7 linked regions of the Kluyveromyces lactis genome follow. The protein of the gene in region 5 binds, or shares a complex with, the protein of the main gene of each other region. Links are inferred from orthologs where the notes say so. Each region holds a gene or a part of one and is shown on either strand. Other genes may lie near its edges.

Evidence for each region.
Region 1: MRPL10 (region 5) and MRPL31 share a complex: the UniProt entries of both Saccharomyces cerevisiae proteins name them as parts of the mitochondrial large ribosomal subunit. The link is inferred for Kluyveromyces lactis from reciprocal best matches to the Saccharomyces cerevisiae genes MRPL10 and MRPL31.
Region 2: MRPL10 (region 5) and MRP7 share a complex: the UniProt entries of both Saccharomyces cerevisiae proteins name them as parts of the mitochondrial large ribosomal subunit. The link is inferred for Kluyveromyces lactis from reciprocal best matches to the Saccharomyces cerevisiae genes MRPL10 and MRP7.
Region 3: MRPL10 (region 5) and MRP49 share a complex: the UniProt entries of both Saccharomyces cerevisiae proteins name them as parts of the mitochondrial large ribosomal subunit. The link is inferred for Kluyveromyces lactis from reciprocal best matches to the Saccharomyces cerevisiae genes MRPL10 and MRP49.
Region 4: MRPL10 (region 5) and MRPL33 share a complex: the UniProt entries of both Saccharomyces cerevisiae proteins name them as parts of the mitochondrial large ribosomal subunit. The link is inferred for Kluyveromyces lactis from reciprocal best matches to the Saccharomyces cerevisiae genes MRPL10 and MRPL33.
Region 6: MRPL10 (region 5) and MRPL15 share a complex: the UniProt entries of both Saccharomyces cerevisiae proteins name them as parts of the mitochondrial large ribosomal subunit. The link is inferred for Kluyveromyces lactis from reciprocal best matches to the Saccharomyces cerevisiae genes MRPL10 and MRPL15.
Region 7: MRPL10 (region 5) and MHR1 share a complex: the UniProt entries of both Saccharomyces cerevisiae proteins name them as parts of the mitochondrial large ribosomal subunit. The link is inferred for Kluyveromyces lactis from reciprocal best matches to the Saccharomyces cerevisiae genes MRPL10 and MHR1.

Annotation. Positions count from the first base shown.
Region 1 is NC_006041.1:1,081,977-1,085,182, forward strand, and holds MRPL31 (mitochondrial 54S ribosomal protein mL60), read right to left. Parts: upstream 1,224-3,206; coding exon 834-1,223; downstream 1-833. Other genes in the region: kinetochore-associated Ndc80 complex subunit SPC24, read left to right, coding at 187-756; CMC1 (Cmc1p), read left to right, coding at 1,561-1,872; APL2 (Apl2p), read right to left, coding at 2,050-3,206. UniProt on the Saccharomyces cerevisiae protein: Component of the mitochondrial ribosome (mitoribosome), a dedicated translation machinery responsible for the synthesis of mitochondrial genome-encoded proteins, including at least some of the essential transmembrane subunits of the mitochondrial respiratory chain.
Region 2 is NC_006042.1:1,139,519-1,143,219, forward strand, and holds MRP7 (mitochondrial 54S ribosomal protein bL27m), read right to left. Parts: upstream 2,088-3,701; coding exon 993-2,087; downstream 1-992. Other genes in the region: ILV6 (acetolactate synthase regulatory subunit), read left to right, coding at 1-723; SGF29 (Sgf29p), read left to right, coding at 2,717-3,457. UniProt on the Saccharomyces cerevisiae protein: Component of the mitochondrial ribosome (mitoribosome), a dedicated translation machinery responsible for the synthesis of mitochondrial genome-encoded proteins, including at least some of the essential transmembrane subunits of the mitochondrial respiratory chain.
Region 3 is NC_006038.1:622,553-625,457, forward strand, and holds MRP49 (mitochondrial 54S ribosomal protein mL61), read right to left. Parts: upstream 1,385-2,905; coding exon 992-1,384; downstream 1-991. Other genes in the region: RKM3 (protein-lysine N-methyltransferase), read right to left, coding at 1-500; KLLA0_B07205g (cAMP-dependent protein kinase), read right to left, coding at 2,054-2,905. UniProt on the Saccharomyces cerevisiae protein: Component of the mitochondrial ribosome (mitoribosome), a dedicated translation machinery responsible for the synthesis of mitochondrial genome-encoded proteins, including at least some of the essential transmembrane subunits of the mitochondrial respiratory chain.
Region 4 is NC_006039.1:553,081-555,942, reverse strand, and holds MRPL33 (mitochondrial 54S ribosomal protein uL30m), read right to left. Parts: upstream 1,286-2,862; coding exon 1,031-1,285; downstream 1-1,030. Other genes in the region: KLLA0_C06292g (uncharacterized protein), read left to right, coding at 61-831; NGL2 (RNA exonuclease), read left to right, coding at 1,900-2,862. UniProt on the Saccharomyces cerevisiae protein: Component of the mitochondrial ribosome (mitoribosome), a dedicated translation machinery responsible for the synthesis of mitochondrial genome-encoded proteins, including at least some of the essential transmembrane subunits of the mitochondrial respiratory chain.
Region 5 is NC_006039.1:1,033,177-1,036,612, forward strand, and holds MRPL10 (mitochondrial 54S ribosomal protein uL15m), read right to left. Parts: upstream 1,699-3,436; coding exon 769-1,698; downstream 1-768. Other genes in the region: KLLA0_C12111g (uncharacterized protein), read left to right, coding at 1-595; WSC2 (Wsc2p), read right to left, coding at 2,581-3,436. UniProt on the Saccharomyces cerevisiae protein: Component of the mitochondrial ribosome (mitoribosome), a dedicated translation machinery responsible for the synthesis of mitochondrial genome-encoded proteins, including at least some of the essential transmembrane subunits of the mitochondrial respiratory chain.
Region 6 is NC_006039.1:1,527,471-1,530,653, forward strand, and holds MRPL15 (mitochondrial 54S ribosomal protein mL57), read right to left. Parts: upstream 1,826-3,183; coding exon 1,100-1,825; downstream 1-1,099. Other genes in the region: KLLA0_C17380g (uncharacterized protein), read left to right, coding at 1-605; RNA-dependent ATPase ROK1, read left to right, coding at 2,471-3,183. UniProt on the Saccharomyces cerevisiae protein: Component of the mitochondrial ribosome (mitoribosome), a dedicated translation machinery responsible for the synthesis of mitochondrial genome-encoded proteins, including at least some of the essential transmembrane subunits of the mitochondrial respiratory chain.
Region 7 is NC_006039.1:893,160-896,327, forward strand, and holds MHR1 (mitochondrial 54S ribosomal protein mL67), read right to left. Parts: upstream 1,437-3,168; coding exon 777-1,436; downstream 1-776. Other genes in the region: GTPase-activating protein NEL1, read left to right, coding at 1,863-3,168. UniProt on the Saccharomyces cerevisiae protein: Component of the mitochondrial ribosome (mitoribosome), a dedicated translation machinery responsible for the synthesis of mitochondrial genome-encoded proteins, including at least some of the essential transmembrane subunits of the mitochondrial respiratory chain.

The sequences.
Region 1 (3,206 bases), on a different chromosome or scaffold from region 5:
TTGAGCAATATCCTTTGGTACTTCTGTTTTAAAGGTTCTCTGCTATTAGTGGATGCAATTTTAAAGATTCAATGTTTTGATTTAAGTGAACACAATTGACAATCTCATCGAATTGAATCATAAATAGATGTGATATATGAAACAGTACTGCACAGTACTGAGCAACAGTGGATATTGCAGCACCCAATGTCACGGCTCAATGATCCAGTAGAGCTTTTACAGCAAACCCGGTCCAATTTCATCATTGAAAGCGATGTCTCTAATATTAAAGAGATCAAGAGTAATATGAGACAGCTCACGAAATTGATGGCTGAGAAACAAACACACCACAATGAGCTCATGAAACAATTGCAATCACAGCTGCAAAGACAGCAAACTAAAGTGCAGGCACTTAAAAAGAATTTTCAGGAGCAAACAAGCCAAGTGAAACGCGTAGAGGACGAATTAAACATACCGAAATTGCAACAAGACATAGATAAACTGGTACAGGAAATTAACCAGCTTCGAGATACGATACAAGAGGGTATTCAAAAGGTCGTAGAAACACAGAAACAATTACTCAATGACGATACTGATGCTGCCCACACGATTGATGAGGAACCGATCGGTAAAGATGACAAGATACGTGTGCTAAAGTTGAAGTTGTTCCATTCCCTTGACGTAGCACTATATAATGACCAATTGCTCGATCTAAGGAATGAAGCCCGTCCATTATCATCATCATCATCATCTCACAACATCTGGGATGAACTATGATACCTTGATTTTATTCACTATGTACAGGGGCTACTTACTATGTAATAATAGAAGTTTTTAATGATGATTCATCCAAATCAGAAATGACGTGGGTTTCTTCTGATGGAAAGCTTGGTCCATTTGGGAACTTTATGTATACCCTTTCTATATCCCTTCGAGTACCTGTTGAATACACTGTACTTATCAGTAGCAGACATCTCCGGTTCCTTTGGGAAATACTGAGCCTTGTCTAAAATACGTAAGCTCTTCACACGAGGTTTAATCTTACGTAGATTCAGCTGAGATCCCTCAGAAACCGCCATATGGTTTCTTTCAAGATGAAGACCTAACTTAAGAGTTGAAAGAACATCATCAACGCTTCTCAAACGGTCTCTTTGTCTTGCTTTTTGAGGACCAGACATACGCCATGGGACTTTCCATAATAATCCACCTAATGCAGGTTGTGTAGCTCTGAATGCACCGAACATTTCTCTATGAAACAAAGATATTCAATTGACCCGGGTATGACAGAACCTAACGAGCTGCTTAAACAGTTTGTATAACGGTGCTACTGGCTGGCTTTTACCAATTTCCCACCGTAATTCATGGTATTAAATCTTTTAAACCTTCGAAATTTTTCAAAGTATCCATGAAAAAGCTTTAAATCTCAACATTATGCAAATGAACAATGTCAACTGATTTAAACGATTTTGGGGAACAGCCAGCGTATTGTCATTTGTAGCTGCTGCTGTGTCCATAACCATAGGTCAGAAGTTCTTATAGTACTGGAATACTGCACCACAAAGATAGATTATTCATTTAGAAATGTCAGAGGGCGTTGGAAAGCATAATCAAAGATTACCAATTTGGGTATTGAACCCTACCGAGGAGAAAGAAGCTCGTCAGAATTTGAAGAAATTTGCATATGCACAATGTGTAGAATACGTGGAGGCCATGGTCGAATGTTCAAAGATTCATGGATTGAAGCTTTTCCCAGCGTGTAACGAACCTCGTGACGCTATGCGCAAATGTATATTATCATACCAGAAGGATTCTAATCTGGATCGTCAACGTGACTTGATAGTGGAACGTAAGATTGAGAGACTTGAGGATCTTCTCAAGAAACAAAAGGAATAAAGTTGACATGATATGACATGACATGACATGCCACTGGGGTTACTTGTATATAGTAGTAGATACTGCACCATAATAAATTAACATTTTAGAAAGGCACATCCATGATTGAAGTTTATCTGCTTCATTGTTTCCCATTATAATTATAGTTTGTACAGGTGTTCAAAAGAGTAAACTAGTTTACATTAAGTCTAGAAGATCGGTTGCATGGGAATTCGAGGTGTTGTTGTTGTTATTATTGGTTTTCTGTGAAATGTTTACTTTCCCCATATCACCAGTGATATCGAAAAGATCATTTAGTTCGTCCAGGACGCCTGTACTTCTCGTGGCAGAGCTATCACCCATGTCAAGTAGTACATCATCGTTCATGTTTTTCAGGATCTCGTTCGTGGCCATTCCCTTTAATTCATCAATATCCTTATCCTTAATGATGTGAACTTCGTTGGGACGGCGTTGCATCTGCGAGATTGGTTTGAAATACACAGAGGATAGAGTGGAGAGCTCTTGAAGTAGACTTTGTAATGTTTCCTTGGAGAAGTGGTCCAAGGTAGAATGCAATTTAGGAATTTCATGCTTGTCAAATAATTGGTTGATGATTTGATCACCGTTGTCGATCGATAGACACCGCCAGTACATCATGGCCATGTCTCTAACGTCCAAATCGTGGACGTCTGTCGTACAAAGTTCCAAGATCTTCTGTAAGAAAGCACTTGAGACTGCATTATGGCATTTCACTACACCCATTAGAAGGGACATTTGAGTTAGGGATCCTAATTCATCGAAAACTTCTACCAGTGGTTCAAGCTTAGTTTCCAAATTTTCGTTTGTATAGTTGGTGATAAACCAGATGTAGTTACAACTGCCTAGATCAGATGTAAATATGGTATCGATATCTTGCCATGAGGAAATTATGGCACCCAACTCATTCTTACTTGTTTCCTTGATAAGATTGTTGTCACTGTCATAACGTAACATGTCGCATACGCATCTCATCAATATATCCCTAAACTCTTCTCTCTCCTGGACAATCGAAACGAATTCTTCCATGACCATATTCAAAAACTTGTTATTCGTATCTTCACCTCCGTTCGAGACTTTAATGGCCAATTGTGAGATGGATTGGATAGCTTTGGTCACGAATTCATGATCAAAGTCCTTTGCATATTCTTTTAATTCGTTGAAAAGCATCTGGCAATGTTTCAAATTATCCACGGGCACTAATCTGAGCAAGATGTCTAATTTCTCTATCTTCACGTACAATGGATCATTAAATTTGACATAGAATATTCTTAACTCTTTCCTTAACAAGTTTGGGAAGGCATCCAAAATAATTCTTA
Region 2 (3,701 bases), on a different chromosome or scaffold from region 5:
TCGATCCTATATGAAAATCCAGTAATCTCAAAGGAGCCAAAGAAACAACATGTTTTGAACTGTTTGGTTCAAAACGAGCCAGGTGTTCTATCGTTAGTCTCAGGTACTCTAGCTGCAAGAGGCTTCAATATCGATTCCCTTGTGGTCTGTAACACTGAAGTGAAAGATTTATCCCGTATGACCATTGTGTTGCAAGGTCAAGACGGTGTCATCGAACAAGCCAGAAGACAAATCGAAGATTTGGTACCAGTATTTGTCGTGTTGGATTACTCTCATTCCACCATCATAGAAAGAGAATTGTTGATGACAAGAATCTCTTTGTTGGGTGCTGAATACTTCGAGGATTTGATTCATCACCATGAACAAGATGAAAATACTGATACCGTTGAAAGAATAAGACAACAGCAATTCCATCCTTCCAACCTTCCACTGTCCCAAGTATTGAGATTGAAGCATGAACATTTAAACGACATCTCTAACTTGACTGGTAACTTTGGTGGTAAGATTGTTGATATCGCTGAACAAAGTTGTATTGTGGAATTATGTGCTAAACCATCCCGTATCTCTGCATTCTTGAAACTTGTGGAACCTTTCGGTATCTTGGAAGTGGCAAGATCAGGTATGATGGCTCTACCAAGAACCCATTTATCTGTCGGTGATGAAGATGATGCTCAAAGCAAGATGAATGACATCGTTGATATCTCTCAATTGCCTCCTGGTTGATCCAAAGGGCTCACCTGCCATAGTTTTGTACCTCAAAACAATCCAATATCAAAAAAATAGTAATGTAAGAGTATGTTTTGGATTTTGTCTCACACATATAGACAAATTAAATACGTTAACGATATAATATGGAATTAACCTTTCCAAATGATATATAGTCTCTAAAAAACTTTCGTTTTTTTCAGTTTAAACTATGATGATTGTTGTGGTTCTTTTGTTAATATGTACAAGGCTCTAAATGGTTTGTTACGTAACGACTTGGGGAAGATTTACAATTTGCTCAAGAAATCGGTCTTTGGTCTTGTAATGACATCTATCGTGTTTTGTTCGTAGTTGTAACGTCTGGTGGTTAGATTTTTCTTGGAAGGTTTGAGTGGTTCTTCCAATTTCTTCAATTCTGTTTCTGGTTTCACTGGCTTCAAGAATTTTCTGCGTAGTCTCACCTCTTCAGATAACGTCAAGAAGTTCTTTGCATCAGTAAACTTGGCTAGTACTTGCTTCTTACTGTTCTTGTCCTTAATATCAATTGCCTTCAAATCAGTAATTAGTTGTGTCTTTAGAGTATTCTTTTCTTCTGGAGAAATGTATTTAGTTAATTCAAGCTTGTTGTTAAATGACAATGATTCATTCAATTTGGTCGAGACCTGTTTCAACAATGTTAGTTTGTCGTCCAACTTAGATTTTTCTTGGTTTCTCATCTTCAATTTAAGTTCTTGTTCCAAATAGTAGTACGAATTAAATCGGGCATCGGATTCATTGAACCCATTCTTCAAACAAGTTCTCCATCTGAGCAAATATGGTAATGCAAACGCAAGTTCTTGTTGATCCAGCTCAACTTTCAGATCTGAAATTATCTTGCTGTATTCTGCCTTCAACTCTTCACGTTTAATCTCACGTTCTTGCTGTTTCTTGATCAATTCATCCTTCAGCAAATAAATCTTTCTTGGTAAAGCGTTCTCTTCTGCAATGGCTTTCTCTTCATCCTCAATGATGGCCTTGCCGAATCTTCTCAAACGTGGTTCGAAATGCGGCAAAGGAAGCTTTACATCCTTGTATAATGATACACCAATGAATTTCTTACCTGGATGAAATGGATCCAAATAGTATCTCACATAACCCGGCTCCAAAGCGAAAAGCGTATGATCTTTACCGATGCCTACATTTTCACCAGGATAAAACTTGGTACCACGTTGTCTCATGATGATCTCACCAACTTGAGTGGCTTGACCCTCGTATTTTTTTGGACCCAATCTACGACCAGCAGAGTCCTTCATACTGGTACGAGAACCTGCTGCACGCTTGGTTGCAGTACGCACCTGCTGCACCACAAACTTGGGAACTTGTTGCCACGAAGATGAGAACATTATGCGTTGTTTCGTAGGCCTGGTCCGAACAGTATCAAGCAATGTCACAGTAACTGTATTTCTGCGTGTATCTGTACTTAATGTATTTAAGATAGGATTTTAGTGACAAAAATTTTCCACAGTATGGCGGATTGTAAGGTAGGGTAACAACGAAATCCAACAAGATATAGCCCTTCGAAGGTTCGTGTAACTGACTGTTTAAGAGTTGAAAGTATTGATTTATACATTTTACCAATTTCATCTATTGCTGAGAGTTCTTTCGATACCATAGTGAATTTTTCATGCTTGAGAAGGAGTAAACGTCTAATTCACGTCAAAGTTATTCGAAACTGAGGTTCCAATTAAAGATCTACCATCACTATATACGTTTTGATGTTCTCTTCCAGCACGAAAAACTCATATTTCTCTAAGTACAAAACATCAAGAAACCGACACTGCTTGCATCGAAAAGAAGTCTTCACCTTTCAGATTTACGTTTGAATAAACAGGACGTCCATTTATAGAAGTTTCCCAAATTAATTATCGTGCTGGTGAAGCCCATATTATCTAATTGAAATAGGAATACTAAGAACCGACAGCCCATAGATAAAAAAAAAATAAAACAAAATATATCAGTGATTCTAGCGAAAATGGCAACGGAAGATAGATGGGGTCTTGCCGTGACTCAATTACAAGATCTATATAAAATAGGAGATATTGCGGGGTTTGAGTCTTTAGATCCGAAGAATATGAATTTCCAGAATATGAATTTGAATCAATTGGCTGATATCCATGAGAAATTAGAGGCTCGTCAGTCTGTAAATGAAAAGATGAGAAATTACTGCAGAGATTTGGTAGAGAACATTTCATACATATTAGATAATTATCCAGTGGAAGAGGAACCTATATTAAAGGAGGAATCCAGTTCGACGCATATCCCTGAATCGAGTGTTGTTGGTAGATCACATTGGACCAGTCAATTCAACCCAAGTGAACCAATTGAGGTTGGTTCCGAAGTTGCATATAAATCTAAAAAGACTGGCGAATGGATCCAGTGCATATGCACAAAAGTTTCTGGGGACGGACTCCGGTTTGAAGTGAAAGATCCAGAACCCGATGAATTTGGGAAACCAGGTGGTATATTCAAATGTAACTCGAAAGAGATCCTCTTGATCCCGCCCGTGACTATGAAAAGAACCCAGACTCCGAATTATCCAGCGAATACAAAAGTTTTGGCAAGATATCCAGAAACAACGACTTTCTATCCAGCTATTGTTTGCGGAAGCAAAAGAGATGGGACATGTAAGCTACGATTCGACGGTGAAGAGGAAATAGACAAGGAGACTGAGGTGGAAAGAAGATTAGTTCTTCCTTTCCCCTCTAGACGATGAGTTTCTTAATTATATCACGTTCACGAAATGTATGTAATTTTCCATAGCCTGTAACAATAAAGAAAAAAAAATTATGAAAGAACATTAAATAAACCGTATCACATTGAGATAATGTAGGAACTAGTAGCGGTGCCTGTTTGTGATTTATCGCATCAGACGCGACAGACATTAAATACCATAGTTCTAGTTTCTTATTGTCGAATATTTTGTATATGATTCATGGTGTACCTTTTTAACAAAGTGA
Region 3 (2,905 bases), on a different chromosome or scaffold from region 5:
CCAAATTCTTCGTTCCACTTACGGGATAATGCAATACCAACTTTGAAACCATTTTCTATCTCTTCTTGTGGAGACAACGCCTCGAATACAACATCCAATGCAGTATTCTTCAGCAAAATTTTCTCATTATCTTCCCAGTATGCCGGTGGAAGATATAGACTCCCATTTTGTCTGTGTGAAATGCTCTTCAAATATTTGTACCAATGGCTTTCAACTTGAAATATGAATACTTCATAAATATATGCAATGTTTAATGCCAACATGCCTTTTACCTCGCTATCAACCAGTAGATTGGCAATGCTACTATTTTCTGCAGTGAAAACAGAAGATTTCGGAATCCTAAGGAGTACAGTGTCCTCCTTCAAATCCTTTAATGCAAACACTCCTAAACCACCATAATCAGATCTTCTAATCTCACAGCCGGCAGTGTGGAAAAACCCCTTGGATTCCAGTACAAATGTTAGAATATCATCTGTATCACTGGAGTCTGTATTAGACATTCGTGTTGTTGGGTTGAGAGTCTTCACCTGTGAATAATGCCCCTACTATATGCCTCTTTGGGGTGTTGATAATTTCTGTGGTCAACCGATGAGATGAGATGAGATGATGAGATCTGAAGCGATTTATCATTTTCGAGATTGAAAAATTTCAACTGAACAATACGCAGAAAACCATTTCCGCAGATGAAGAAGTCGCTGTTAATGTAAGATGTCTTAATGACAATTAGATGTAAGAGGCGTTCTGAAATTCAAGTTAAATAACCACCTGGTAACCATATACTGGCGTTTTAAATCTTCTTCTCGCGTGTTCTTGAATGTCTTGACGATCCTTGGGCAGAGAGTCAACTCATCTCAAAAGGATATGTCATTTGAATAAGACATCAAATCGGATGAAAAGTATCTTATTATATACATATGTACAGGACCTAACTTTGAAAGTAGTATATTTAGGTATTCCAGTTTGTTTGTTTTTCTTTGTCAAAGGTCGGAGCTCATACCTTTATTATTTCTTCCTGGGGTACTCTTTTGTGTTCCAATTTCTGTAGCACTTCATCCATAATTTCAGATGAGTGTTTGTGCTTCATTGAAACTTCAGCTACAACCTTCCCATCGGATCCAATAGCTTCTAGTATGCATGGTACATCGACTTTTTTATCATCGTTTCTAATTCTGGTCACATTGATTGGCAACGCAGGGTTGTAAAACTGCAGAGAAGGCAAAAACTCGTGCCAGAACTTACGGGCACCCATATGGCCATTGAAATTCTGATACTGGAACTTCACATTCAATGCACTGTACTTCGATACATCTAATATAATTTGAGGTTTCACGGTAGTCGCACTGATCTTGTTCAAAAATTTTTGTTGTTTAACGATTCCTGACATTATTTATTAATGATCTTCTCTAGAGTGACAATGAGTATAAGTATCCAATCGGTAAAATAAACCTTGACGATAAAGTAGAGCAACCAGGACCCTTCACTTTCAGCAATATCACTTCAATCATCTATTTCGTAAAATCATTCTCATTTCAACTGGACATGTCCACTGAACTTTTTGAATTTTCAATAGTTTGGAAAAAAATTCATTGGTCACGTGAAATCATTCGACAGAAGCAAGTTACGTCCAAAACATAAATGAATGTGCCATGACTTACCCCAGTTTACAATTTATGTAGCATGGATCGTGAGGGAAGGACTTGTGATGAAGTCTTATACATGCATTCAAAATATGTAAATGCCATTGATTATAGATAGATAAATACTCCAAAAATAAGATTATTGCATCGAGCATCCATTGGAGAGTACAGCAAAACGAATGAAACGAATTTTGAATTGGAAGTGCGTACATCAATCCATCTAGTATTGTACGATGGTCATTCAAAGGAATGTATCAAATAACGGCAGCGTTTCTGAAGGCAATGAGCCGATATATCAAAACAAAAAAAAAAAGAAAAGGGACTAACGGGGGGAAAGGCGTGTTAAAGTTTACATATTGTGTAGATGCAAGATAAGAGGCATGTTGATATCTGAATTTCATGAGCAAGTATGCCTGCTAAAAGTTGGTGAAAATACTATGGTACGGATCTTCGCCTTGAATGCCATAATTAACCTCTTCCTCTGGATACCTATCGTATTGAGAGGTATCGCCTTGTCCGGCCTGAATAGGAGGTTCATATGGAGTTTCAATGTTTTTGCAGAGTAGTTTTTCCCACACAACCTCGCTGAACCACGGATGATTCTTTACGTCCTCACTTCCATTTTGTAAATTACCTAGCCGTTGACTTAAGTCTCTTGTGATGAGTTTCGATATTAGATCTTGAGCATCAGAATGGAAAAATGGTGGGAATCTTACTGGAGCATTTAGAATATTCTCATAGGTCTTAATTGTGTTTGAATCGTAGAAAGGTGTATATCCTGCTAACATTTCGTAGATTAAAACACCAAAACTCCACCAATCCACAGATTTGTTGTAAGGTTTTGTGCTTACCACTTCAGGTGCGATATAGTCCGGTGTTCCACAGAGAGTGTAAGTGACATCAGGAACATATTTAGCGAACCCGAAATCAGTTAACTTGATATGTCCGTTCTTATCTAAAAGGATATTTTCTGGTTTCAAATCTCTGTAAATGATGCCTTTAGAATGTAGGTATTCCAACGCAAGACAAACTTCTGCTGCATAAAACTTCGCGACCGGGTTTGGGAACCTTTGAGACTTCCTTAAAAGAGAGAATAGTTCACCACCTTCGATGTAATCCATGATCATAAACAATTGCTGTGAGTCCTGGAAAGTTCCCCACATTCTAATTATGAAAGGATGGGATACTATACTTAGCATATTTCTTTCATCGTTGGTATGCTCCACTTGTTTCAATTTGACAACGGTGTTTTTTTTCAAAACTTTCAT
Region 4 (2,862 bases), about 480 kb from region 5:
CTTTCTAAAGGACTACTGGGTGACCCCGTTTGAAATTCCGAGACTATAGTAGAGTGAACGATGACAGAGGGAAGACGTTTATCAAATCGTTCTAGCATTCGCAACACCACGCATATATTCAACGATACTTCAAGTAAGACGAAGGGTACTAAATTCAAATTTAAGAATGGTTCTGGAACTCGGCAGTCTCCAAACAAACAGCACATATCGTCGTCTCCTCCAATATTAGAAGTTCAAAACATCGCCGATGTAGACACATCAAATACTTTTGGGCAATTCAATCGAATTTCACAGCCACCAAGTAAGAACTTGAACTACGATACTCCAAAGATCAATGTAAAACTAGAGTATCATACAATGCAAAGTTCTAAGATCATTTACAAGATAGATGTTCCAATATCAAGTAAATCAGACATGGAAATTTCTCCCGTGATAACAAAGTTGATCAACGAAACCCATGAATCAGCTGAAGCATTCAAACTTTGTAATGACAATAGATTCGGTTATACCACATTGGACGCTTTACCAGCTGTTTTGAGCAAATATATCTCCCAGAATATGAGTGTTCAAAGGTTACCACAAAGACCTAAAACAAAACATTTGTACAATAGAGTTGATCAATTGCTGGCTCAAGAAAATCAATTCTTTTCGGCAAATGACAGTATAGAACTAAGTTTTGATGGAAAAGCTATGAATAAAAATGATATCTTCAGAATTGTAGATTCGTTCTCGGTGGCATTTGACGATGATGAATATGGTGAAGATGGTGACGACGAATACGTGAAACAGCCTAGGAATATTCTCACCAGAGAAGTCACCGGTGTCTTCTAAATAAAGACGTTTGGTATATGATACTCTCAAATACCTCATTAGAATAAGATTAATATTTCTTTGATCTCTATATACATGAAAATCCTAATATCCTTTTCTTTATGTAAAACAGAAGATGTTCATTGTGAGCCCAGTTTCTTCTCTGTTAAATGTTTCTGGTACATTGCTTTGTTTGTTATATTGTCTGGTATGATCCTTTCTATACTCTCTTTTCGACAGTAAATCCAGGATTTGATTTTCTTAGCTCACGCTGTTCTGCCTTACTTAAAGCTTTATCGGCAAGCTCAACGCTCACAAGCTCCTTTATCTGAGCGACAGCACCTGCAATAGATGGTGTAGCTGGTTGATATGCGACAGATCCTCTTTTTCCGAGTCCTAAACTCTTGACCACTGCCCTAGTCTTCTGTGGAGTACCAATGACTGACCTCTGTAATGTAATTCTGTAGAAAACCATGGCTATCTTTGAAAATTATTATGATAGCTATGCTTTTAGAAACCGTTCGCTAATACCAGTAATGAAGTATAATTTCCTCGGTCGTAAGTTTCGTTGACAATATAGAGAACTATGTCAAAAAAAAACGCTCTTTTAAGAGATCTTGTGCATCATTATCGAAGAGATTAACTGGGTATTCAAACCATTAATAGCCAACGTACATTGATTTTTCAAATAGCATCAAAACGTATAAAGTGATATCATGTGATGTATATTGTCTAGCAGCTCATCGCGTATGTCATTTGGGCACTTCTCACAAACCGTCGCAGGAAAGTGCTACCTACTGAGAAAGAACCAGGAATTGCATATAAAGATCTCAAGATTATATCTCGCTGTTTGAATATTTCTTCCTGAATATGAAGTTGCATTGAAATTGTCTTAGGAGGGGCATTTGCTTGGTTATGTATATATATATATATATATATGTCATTTCTTTTTTTCCAATATTTATGCCCGATTGAATAATATATATATATATCATATTAACAAGCTCTTAACGCCATGGTTGGTTAGATCTCTCTAAGGTTTATATCGCCACTATACACTGCAAAGTAGAAGTAATAATTTGAGCCAATATGGCTGGTAGTACGCAAGACACCGGCGTCAAAGACGTTCCAAAAGAGCTTGTGGAACAAGCAAAAAAGCTATCGATTACTGATGGGATGGACCAGTTGAAGGTAGAAGGTAAGAATAAAGTAAAGGACAAGAAAAGTAAGAAAAAAGGCAAGGCCTTGAATGAGATCACTCCAGAGTATATCGCTGAGATGCGAGCTAAGAGAGAAGCTGCGAAAATAGCAAAAAAAGAGGCTCTTATTGCTCAAGGTATAGATCCAAAATTGCCCGCAGACCTTAGATTTATCAAAAGGCCGATGTTAGCTGTTCCTCGAGATTCATCAGGCCAATCGACGAGAGAGGTATGTCCAATCAGTATAATGACGTATAATTGTCTTGCCCAAGCTTTGATTAGAAGAACACTGTTTCCTACGAGCGGAAATGCTGTTAAATGGTTTAAAAGATCTCAAGTTTTACTCAATGAATTCAAATATTACAATGTTGACGTACTGTGTTTGCAAGAAATTGACACGGTTCAATACAAGTCTTTCTGGAAAATGGAGTTCACAAAACTAGGTTACATGTGTCAATTCCATTTTAATCCTACCAAAAACCACGGAGTATTAATTGCTTGGAAAGAAGATCTATTTGATATGACAGATAAGATGTTAATTGACTACGACAAAGAAACAACAGGTGCCATTGAACCAAGAACAACTACCAAAAATGTTGGCATGTTGCTTTCTTTGAAGTTTAAAAAGAAAGTGCTAGAAAAATATCCAGACACCAAAGTCAGTGGTATAATTATTGGTACCACACATTTGTTTTGGCATCCATTTGGCACATATGAACGGACAAGACAATGCTATATTGTACTAAAAAAAGTAAAAGAATTCCAGAATCGAATCAACGTTCTTCAAAACGAAAAAGACGGTGATAATTCACATTGGCCAGCATTTTTCTGTGGCGATTTCAATTCTCAGCCG
Region 5 (3,436 bases):
TTTACCATTGGATGGTAATTATACAATTTTGGTGGGGTTCCCTATTATCTACAAACAGTTATTCCCAGAAACTACCATTTTCGAGACTAAGAATCTACCTTTCATTTCCAAGAATTTCAGATTTAAACTCCTGCCAATATTTACTCTACTTGTGCTTTCGTTTGTGCAACTTCTGTGGTTCCACCACTTCTCTCAGTTATTATCAATTTGGATCACTTTTTTCACCTGTTATTTCTACTTGAGATTCTATCAGAGGCTACCTGCTTCGATGGCTGAGGATGCTGAATTTGAAGTGGTAGGAGATGCCTCTGAGACATTCCAATTGATATATTTCTTCCCGGATTTAGTCAAACCAGTACTTGAGCCAATATTTGATTACCTTTACCAGAAGTTTATTGTTGATTGGCGTATTGCAACTCCGTTTAGAGTATACGATATCGAACAAGCTAACATTTTGGCTCAAAAGAGGGGTGCTAAGCCTGTTGAAGGCTCTGAAGCGGAAGAAAGAAGGAAAAAGTTAGCCCTACAGGTTCTCGAAGAAAGATTGTTGGACAACAAAAACACAGAGTCTTCTACTCCACAAAACGATGTGTAAAAGTGAGACAAGCTCATTCTTATATTTTTAGACTTTAGAGCATTAAATAGACAAAAGTTGCTACAACTTGTGAATACAGATATCAATTTGATTGATATGGTGTATAAATCTGGAGAAATGGCGTTGAATGATGTGTATTATATACAGGGCATTTCTATATTGCTATATGATGTTCAGTTTGATTTAATTTCAGAATTTGGAGAAGCAGGAGCAAAATCGTTCTCAAGTTGCTCTAATTGCAACTCAAGCTTGGACTTCTTGGTCTTCCGAGCAACCAAATTTTTACCGCCTTCATCTTTGGATTTCTGCAAAAGTTGATAGTATGGGTCATTTTCCATAATCAAATAACCTCTCTTTTCTTCGTTACAGTAATATTCAATATCCTTCCTCTTTGTGGGTCTAGCTTGTAGAGGAACTCTTCCGTACTTTTCTAGGAACCAATGTGGTGATAAATGGGCTCTTAGACCAAGACGGTTGAAATAACGAGCAGTGAAACTTCCGCCTGCATGTTCGATTGCCTCAATTGCATCCTGTGAAGCTCTAGTAGCTTCAATCTTGATTGGAAGATTATAAGAGAATTTACCATCACCTAGAATCTTAATACCATCTTTGATCGGGCCGGTAACCAAACCGATTTCTTTCATCTTTTTCATCGTCAAGGTTTCACCTGGCTCCAAATGTAGGCGACCCTTTTGGTGGAACCACGTTATTCTATCAAGGTTTAATTCTTTCAATTTTAGTGATGTTACGTTGGTGAACCCTAGCTTTGGGAACAATTTGAAGATTGGGGTTTGACCACCTTCAAACCATGATTTTACATAACCACGGGCCTTTTGACCCTTTTGACCTCTACCAGCAGTCTTACCTTTGCCACTGGATGGACCTCTACCCAATCTTTTGTAGTTCTTCTTAGAGCCTTCACCAGGTTTTAAACCACCAAGGATCGTGATTTGGCGTACAAATGATCTCTGTATAAGTGATCCAAAGGGATTCACCACTTTGTTGATCGAAAACATCGTGCTAGTATTGTGAGACCTCGAGATAGGGCTATTAAATATCGATAATAGTAGATATCCAGTAGATTCATTGAATATCCAAATCATCTCCAGTAATTTCTTGTAAGTTAACCATATTCATTCTAAAAAATTTTCGAAATTAGGTATTCGGGTAACCTTTTAAAATGCTGAGATTCGCTAGGACACAGAGGGAGCTTGGAGACGATAAGAGGGTATGCAATGCTGATGTAAGTGTTTAGATGCGCCTAGCAGATTGACAAATTGAAACAGCCGAAACTATTTCAGTAAACCTACTATTATTTTAGCATCACGTTTTTCAAAAATGTAGCTGTAACATTATAAACTGCGTATTCCTCAGTTCAAAATAGGTTAGGTCCACCAGAAAAGAATTGGTAGCAGGCAATAATCTCGTAGGAGTATATAGTGGTAAATTCTTTTTATGACAAGAAACAGCTTCTATGGCCAAGTTGGTAAGGCGCCACACTAGTAATGTGGAGATCATCAGTTCGACTCTGGTTGGAAGCATTTTTTTGGATCCCTTAAACAATTACCCTAGATGAAAATGTAGCACAATAATTCCCGACAGTAAACATGACAATTAACCATTATAAAGATACCTTGAAGTAAAATGTGAAGAAATTAAATGAGTATTATAACGTTATATATGTACATATGTGAAAGCCCAACTTATCAGTATAACATAAATCGTTTCGATATATTTTGTGACTTGTCTTGTTTATAGTGTTAGACAATTAACTGATCCTCAGTTGATAGTTTTCATTAGGGGTATCAAGTATCAGTAGTGAGTATGGAACATGGCTTATTGTGGGCCTTAGTTGATGTTTTATATTTGGAATATTTCCTTTTGGCGTTTGTTTTGTTTGACAACAACAAGGGGATGATATTGGGTATATCATGCTATTATCTTAGCGAAATGTGTTAAAAAGATGATGTTATATTGTATCAGGATCAATCTCCCCTGAGATTTTCGATGATCGAATTGAATTCTGTATCCTCATCATCCAGCTCATCTGGATTGGCGATTCTTAGCGGTCGCCTTTGTTGAGTTACATCTGGTAAAGAACCATTGCTGAATCTAGGATTTCCCATTGTCGGACGTACAGGAGGTTGTGTTAGGTCTGGTTGATCCATAGTTTCTCCAAACGGACTAACGATTTGCGAATCACTGATTTCGTTTCCATTATTATCCAATCTTTTCTCCCTATTTTGACTTACACCAGATCTATCAGAGGATGATGATGCTGAATGAGAGTTTGGTAAAGTAGCAGCAGCGCCAAATCCACCTCCGGTAACTGGTGGGACTACGATGTCTTCTTCTTGACCAAACGAATAAGGTTGGTAATGCTTACTTTCCTCGAAGTCTGACCGTTTACTTTTCTTTCGCTGTTGCCAGATGAAGAAAATGATAATTGCTGCGATCAGTAACACACCCAAAACAACACCCACAACAATACCAGCGATAGCACCATTAGACAATGATGAAGATTTATTTGACTCCGTTTTAGAGTTTGCAGTGTTGGTACCTTCGGCTGTGGTTGCCACGACGGTACTTGTAGTTGTAACGGCAACAATACTCCTACTCTCACCATTTAAAGTAATGACTGAAACCTGTGTTGTTACAACTTTTGAATGACTGGTAGTAGAGGCGATGGAGCTAGACAAAGATGAAAGCGTACTATCAGTGCTAGAAGAAGTGCCTGAAGTATCAGAAGATGACGTTGTAGCGGCAGTGCTTGAAGAATCTGTTGAGGTTGCACTGGATGAGGTACTGGAAGAAGTTGAACTTGAACTTGAACTTGAACTT
Region 6 (3,183 bases), about 490 kb from region 5:
ATTCAAAAGTTAATGACGATCAGAAGGCCGTCGATGCCAACAAAAGCGAGTCAGAAACTAAAGAAATCGCAGAACAATCAGAAACTGGTGAAACTGACGACGACATTGAATTTGACGTTGATGCGTTTGACATTGAAAATCCTGACAATAGTCTTTCTGACTTATTGCTATACCTAGAATATCAGACAATGGATGTTATAAACACAATTCAATCGTTATTGAGCAGTATTAAGTTACCTAAATCCACTGCTGGAGAACTAAGAACCGAATCAAATGCTATCAATCAAGTAATAAGGCAAATGGTGGAAGCTACAAGTGTTTCCATGAACCAAAGCCGTAATTCTCAATTGAAAGAACATGGTTCATGGGTTGTTCAGAGTTTAGATGACTGTCGTCGTAGAATGACCATACTTTGTCATCTTAAACCAGACGGTATTGTAGTAGCGCACGAGGGGGACGAAGAGTTCGCAGATAAGCATTTCAAACAACGTTTAGCTGGTATTGCATTTGATGTAGCAAAGTGTACCAAAGAATTGGTAAAGACTGTGGAAGAAGCTAGTCTTAAGACCAACATTGAGTATTTAAATGCTAAGCTTTCCAAGTAAATTACCAGCAAAAAACATCCCTTCTATGAAGTTATATATGTATTTATATACATGTATTGTATTATGTACTTTTCTTAATCTGTTTTTATTTTGTATGTTAACATTTAATTAATGATAGATTTAGTTGTAAATTTATGTACGTCTATATTTCTAGAGATACATGAGATATATACAGTGCGCGCGTTTCTTTCGAGGTTCATTTTTAATTGAAGTGTGACGATGGAGTGTCGTTAAAAGGTTATGCTTTTCATGCTTTTGGTAAATTCATTATAATAAAACGTTGAAATTGAGCAGGGATGAAAGAGTAGATTAAAACACCACATTGACCAAGAGCTGTGATTGAAACTTCCGTTTCGAAATATATATATACAAGTTTTGAAAGCTCTTTCCCAACTCCGATGGAGACCATTCACTCGAGTGCTTTTTATTGATGTCGAAGTCTATTGTGTATTCCATTTCTCTTTCTTTCCTGTCGTGTAAAATTAGACATAATATTATAACTTCTCGGTCGTATCCCTGTTTGCTAACAAACTTTCAGATATCTTCGTTAGGGAATCACTATTGTCGCTGAATAGTTCATGCAACACGTATTCGGTGGCCTTGTCTTGACCGTGCAATAGATAGACACTGCCGACCACAGAATTTAGCACAGTTTGTAGCACGGTATACTCACCGTTATATTTGTGACTTTTTTGAGTGTCTCGTTTGTTCCAAAACACTAATTTATCTAGGTTTCTCCTTTGCAAAAATTCAGCCGTACTCTGTTTGGATATTAACATTTTAGAACTTCCCTTCCCAAGCATACCGAAATTTAGTCCGTTAATAACAGGTTCAGACTGTACGCTTTGTGATAGTTGCCTTTCAGAAACAGGTAGACCCAAGGAATGAAGACAAGCTTGATATTTCACAAAATGACCACCGATAATAGACAATTTCTGATTGTATGGTTTAATACCTTGGGCAAACGACTTGTGAGTCAAACATTGTGTAATGATGTCGTCTGGCAAGTCAATACCATATTTTTCCAAATTCAAACCTTGCTTAACAGTAGATACATGGCCATCCTTGACAAGAGAATCATAGTGCAAACCGTGTGGATTCTTCAAAGACTCAACTGGGTCTCTTTTCAAACCACGTACCCTAGTCCCAACGTGTAGATAAGAACCATTACGCACGCCGAATTTTGTGCTTAAGTTAAGACCAATTTTGGTTAAGGACATTATTCCAGAAGTAAAAAAATACTGTCTGAATGGTTTCTGTCTGGTATTTTCACAATTCAATCTTCCTCGACCGAATATCAACAGATTGTAATTACACAGGACACAAATATTAGAATTATTGAATCTTAATTCTAACAGTTTAGTCCTTTTAACTACGATTCAAACTGTTTCTTTGTAGTTTTTCGACTCGAGGCAGCGATCCAAATTTTGAAATTTTTCAAAATTTTTCAGATCACTCCAAACGAGGTCATCGCTGTGTCTAAGTGCTATCTTGTATGATGGGAATACATGCAATATCAAGGCATTAGGTACTGTTATCAAGGGAATATGGTCATTATGGGCTGGTATTATGAGGGCTTAATACCAGCTGTATCTTAAAGTAAGCTTTGCTGCATCTTTATGCCTTGAGAAGTACTTTTATATCGATTTTTACACTTATTGTACCCTAAGTTTTGTGAAAAGAAACGCTTCAGTAAGATCAATTTTAATTGAAAAAACTGCAATTAGATGTAGGCGATGAGATGAGATGAGATGAGATGAGAGAGTAGTAAGAGATTGATTATATCACTCACAGTGGTTTACTATCGAATTTATTCTCATTACTAAGTAACTTCTCACAGGCCAATACTAGCACCGCTAATTAACATGGATATCTTTAGAGTCTTGACTCGTGGAGCTAGCATAAGGAAGAATGGTGATTCTAATAGAACACAGTCTGCAGACTTTAGCATGGCTAATGAAAAGAAGAGTAAGACAGCTGGCAGCTCAAGTACACCAGCTAGAGATGAACAACAATTGACTAAGGAGTTGGATTTTTTCCGTAATAAGAAAATCATGAATAAGGTAAAGTCTGAGTCAACCAAAGGTGAAGGTGAAGACGAAGTACAAGAAGATAATCAAGAAGAAGACGAAGATCATGCTGATGACGAGACTGAGTTATCCGGGAAAATTATCACGAAACAAGATGCGTTAAAGTTACGTAAATCTTATCAAGGGAATGTTTCAGGGAATAGTGTTCCTTTGCCCATCGGTTCTTTTGAAGACTTGATCACAAGGTTCCAATTCGATAAGAGATTGTTAAACAACCTCATAGAAAATAACTTCACTGAACCAACTCCGATTCAAAGTGAATCTATACCGATTTTGTTGCATGAACGTGACATGATCGCTTGTGCTCCCACAGGTTCTGGTAAAACGTTGGCATTTTTGATCCCACTACTGCAACAGATAATCAACGATAAAACCACAGTTGGTCTTAAAGGTTTAATTATATCCCCAACAAAAGAACTTGCGAACCAGATCTTCATCGAATGTTCCAAATTAGCGAACAAGATATACTTGGACAAGAAAAGACCTCT
Region 7 (3,168 bases), about 140 kb from region 5:
AGTTTTGTATGACACTGCAAATATCAGTTTGTGTATCTGATTTCGTATCTTGCTTCGTATTTTATATAGTTGCTGTCTCTCTTCAGTATGATCAAAAAAAAAGAAACAGTAACTCCAGAATAACTTTTTACCTAATCTCAAGCCTTACCCTTTCAATATTATTGCAGCCTTCTTCGCTTGGTATGCCAACATTAGCCTATACGCTTCGTATAAATACAACCACTGATCTTATAACGCAATACATTTATAACGCAATTCTGTATTCTCGACACCATGTTATGCTAGAAAAACTAAGAAAAACCCGAAGCCTCTAAGGGAAAACAGGATTGTCGTTAAAGAAACACCAGAGAAAACCAGAGAAACGGTGTTAAGGTTTCTCAAATTTGGTCATGTGACATTTTTTTTGCTTTTTCTTTGGTGTCCGGGTTCCTGCTTCTTCTTCCGTTAGGCGTTAATGCATGCATGAGACACATATGGTATGAAGCGGTAGAAAAGTAGAGGAAGTAATATGATGATTACAGAACCTTTGATATTTAGGTTACGTGATGATGGAAACAAGGGAGAAAACTGCTAGTAATCACCTTGTCAAATCAGTTAAACGCCGGTAGTGAGCTGAGGGTTTGTTTATATTATTTACAGAGTCGGATTGTCTGCGGGTTATATATGTACATGTAGTGATTTCTTAAAGACGTGACGAGTGAAGCAGTGAAAGATCTGAGCTCGGCTCAGCTTTTGCAACTGGAAATAGTTTGTATTTGCTTGTTTTCTTTTGTAACTCATAGAGAGATGTTTTGAGCAGCTGACTCCTGTTGTCTCACTCTTGCGAACTCTTCTTTGGCTCTTTCGCCTAGTTCTTTCAAAATTGCACTTTCCTCTCTGGAAACGTTCCCCAAACGTTCTAGTGTTGTGTGATTCAACTCTGGCAATACTGGGTTCCAGTATTTCTCTTTATCCCCCATTCTCCATTCGTCTTCCCAATGGACCTTAATGGACGATTGGACGTCTTTCAACTTTAGGAGACATTCTCGCAAATCGGCAACCGCTTCTTGAGAGTATGTTGGTCTGTATTGCGATGAGTACCATGTGTGGCCGGACTCATTCTTCTTTCTCATGTCTTTTGCCTGTTTACTGAATGTCACATCACGGAGATATCTTAATCTGCACAAATTCTGGTATACTTTTACACTCTTGTCGTAGTCTGGTAGATCAACAACAGCCATACATTTCCAAATATCACGTCTGGTGCTTGGTTTCTTATTCTCCCAGTTGGGTCTTTGGAAATTGGTATCAATTTGCTTCCAAGAAAAAGTCGGGAATTGAGAGTACAGCACTTGTCCACTCTCTAGGTTTCTGAATAAAAAGACTTGTGGTGCATACCCTGCTTTCTGTAGCCAGTTGGCTGGACGGAACTTGGTAATAGCTAAATGCTTGCTCATCTCTTCCTAGTGCCCTATGGTGTCTTCAAGCCTTATTTGTTAACAACAAAAGCCTTGATCCTCAGAGTTCTCTTCTATCTCCAGTGCTATTGATGGACTTCTGAAGAGTTATTTAAATACAATGTGTGCACAAATGTGGTGATCTCTTCTGTAATCAAGCTAAACTAACTATCAGCTTTCTCTTTTTCAAAATTTTTCAGCTTTTTCAGATGCCATAAACAACTTCGTAGAAACACTGAAAATTAAAGAGAATGAACCTAATATATACATTACCCGGATCTTGTGATGATATTGAATTCTCCGCTACCTGCTCTATCTTATCTTGGATCTCATCTCCAGAGAAAGGTTTTCCTATCAGCAGACACGCACAGTAGAGTTATCACCTTCATCCGTCAAGTGTCCGCATATTCCACCATCTAGAACTTGATGTTTGAATTGAATTATGGAGCCGTTCCTACGTCCCGGACAGATTGCTTAGCTAGAGTTCTCGATTGTGGAGATGATAACCGTGGATCGATAAGTGCCATTTGTGAGCCGGACTTGACAATTGACGGGAATTCAAGCCTAGCAAGCAGTGAGAATTATACCAATTGTAAAATCTGTGGAGGGTTTGCGAATTTTTTATGTTCAAGAGATTCACGAGCTGGGTGGTTTTGTTCTTTTTGTAATGCTTATAATGAACTAGGGAATATTCCATTATCATCGTCATACCTAAAACATTTAGGAACTGCTGCTGTGCCTACGCATTCCAAGTTCGCCATAATCATCGATCTTAATTGTGAATTTGAGGAAAATCTAGACGCGTTGAAGATGTTACAATTTGGTTCTGTCCAGTCATTGGCCCTGATCACGATTGAAGATGGGTCTGTCACTATTCATACTGACGGGTCACACATTACCGTAGATGCAGAATCTAGTAGTTGTATCAGCCATCTTAAGAAGCTTGACACAGAATGGTTCATTGCAAAGTATGGGCTTTTAGTGAGGAAGATTTGGACGGACCAAATATCTTTCGGTGCTAAACTCGCGGAACTTCTATGTCAACGGACTAGGTCAAAAAAAAGATGTAGAAGAAACACTGCACTCGCTATTTTTCTAGCACAATGTCTAAACCCATCACAATCCATTGCATTTGTTTTCGGACCCTGTACAGTAGCACCAGGTAAGGTTATCTCAATGGACCGAAAAAATCATATCAGGCAGCATAGAAATATAGAGGAAGACAAGGATGTGAAATATTGGAAACCTTCTAGAGAATTTTACAATAAAATGAGTAAGTCCTTAAAGTTTGCTCCATGCACGGTATTCGTCGCATCCATGGATCAGGTCGGAATATGGGAGATGAGATCCTGTTTGAACAACTTTATTCAATACGAATCCTTCAATGATAGAAATTTCATATATGATTGGCAGGCGTATATTCAAGGGAAAGGATGTTATGAAATAACCAGAATTGTTATCAAAACTTCTAACAAGCTATTACTGAATGGGATCTTTGGTCCAGTCTCATCCTTGAAAGACAAGGACACACATGTATCTGACACTCCAAAGGGCTTTGGAGGGTCTGGAACCTTCCGTTACAAAGGGCCAAGTAGTAATCTACCATCAATTTTGATAAGTTTATCTGTTGATACATCTCGCAGCGCTGCTGAAGCCTTGCAAGAAATGCCAGATAAATTTTCCTTTCAAATGGAATGCTACTATAAACACTTGAATCAAGAATACGTTTCTG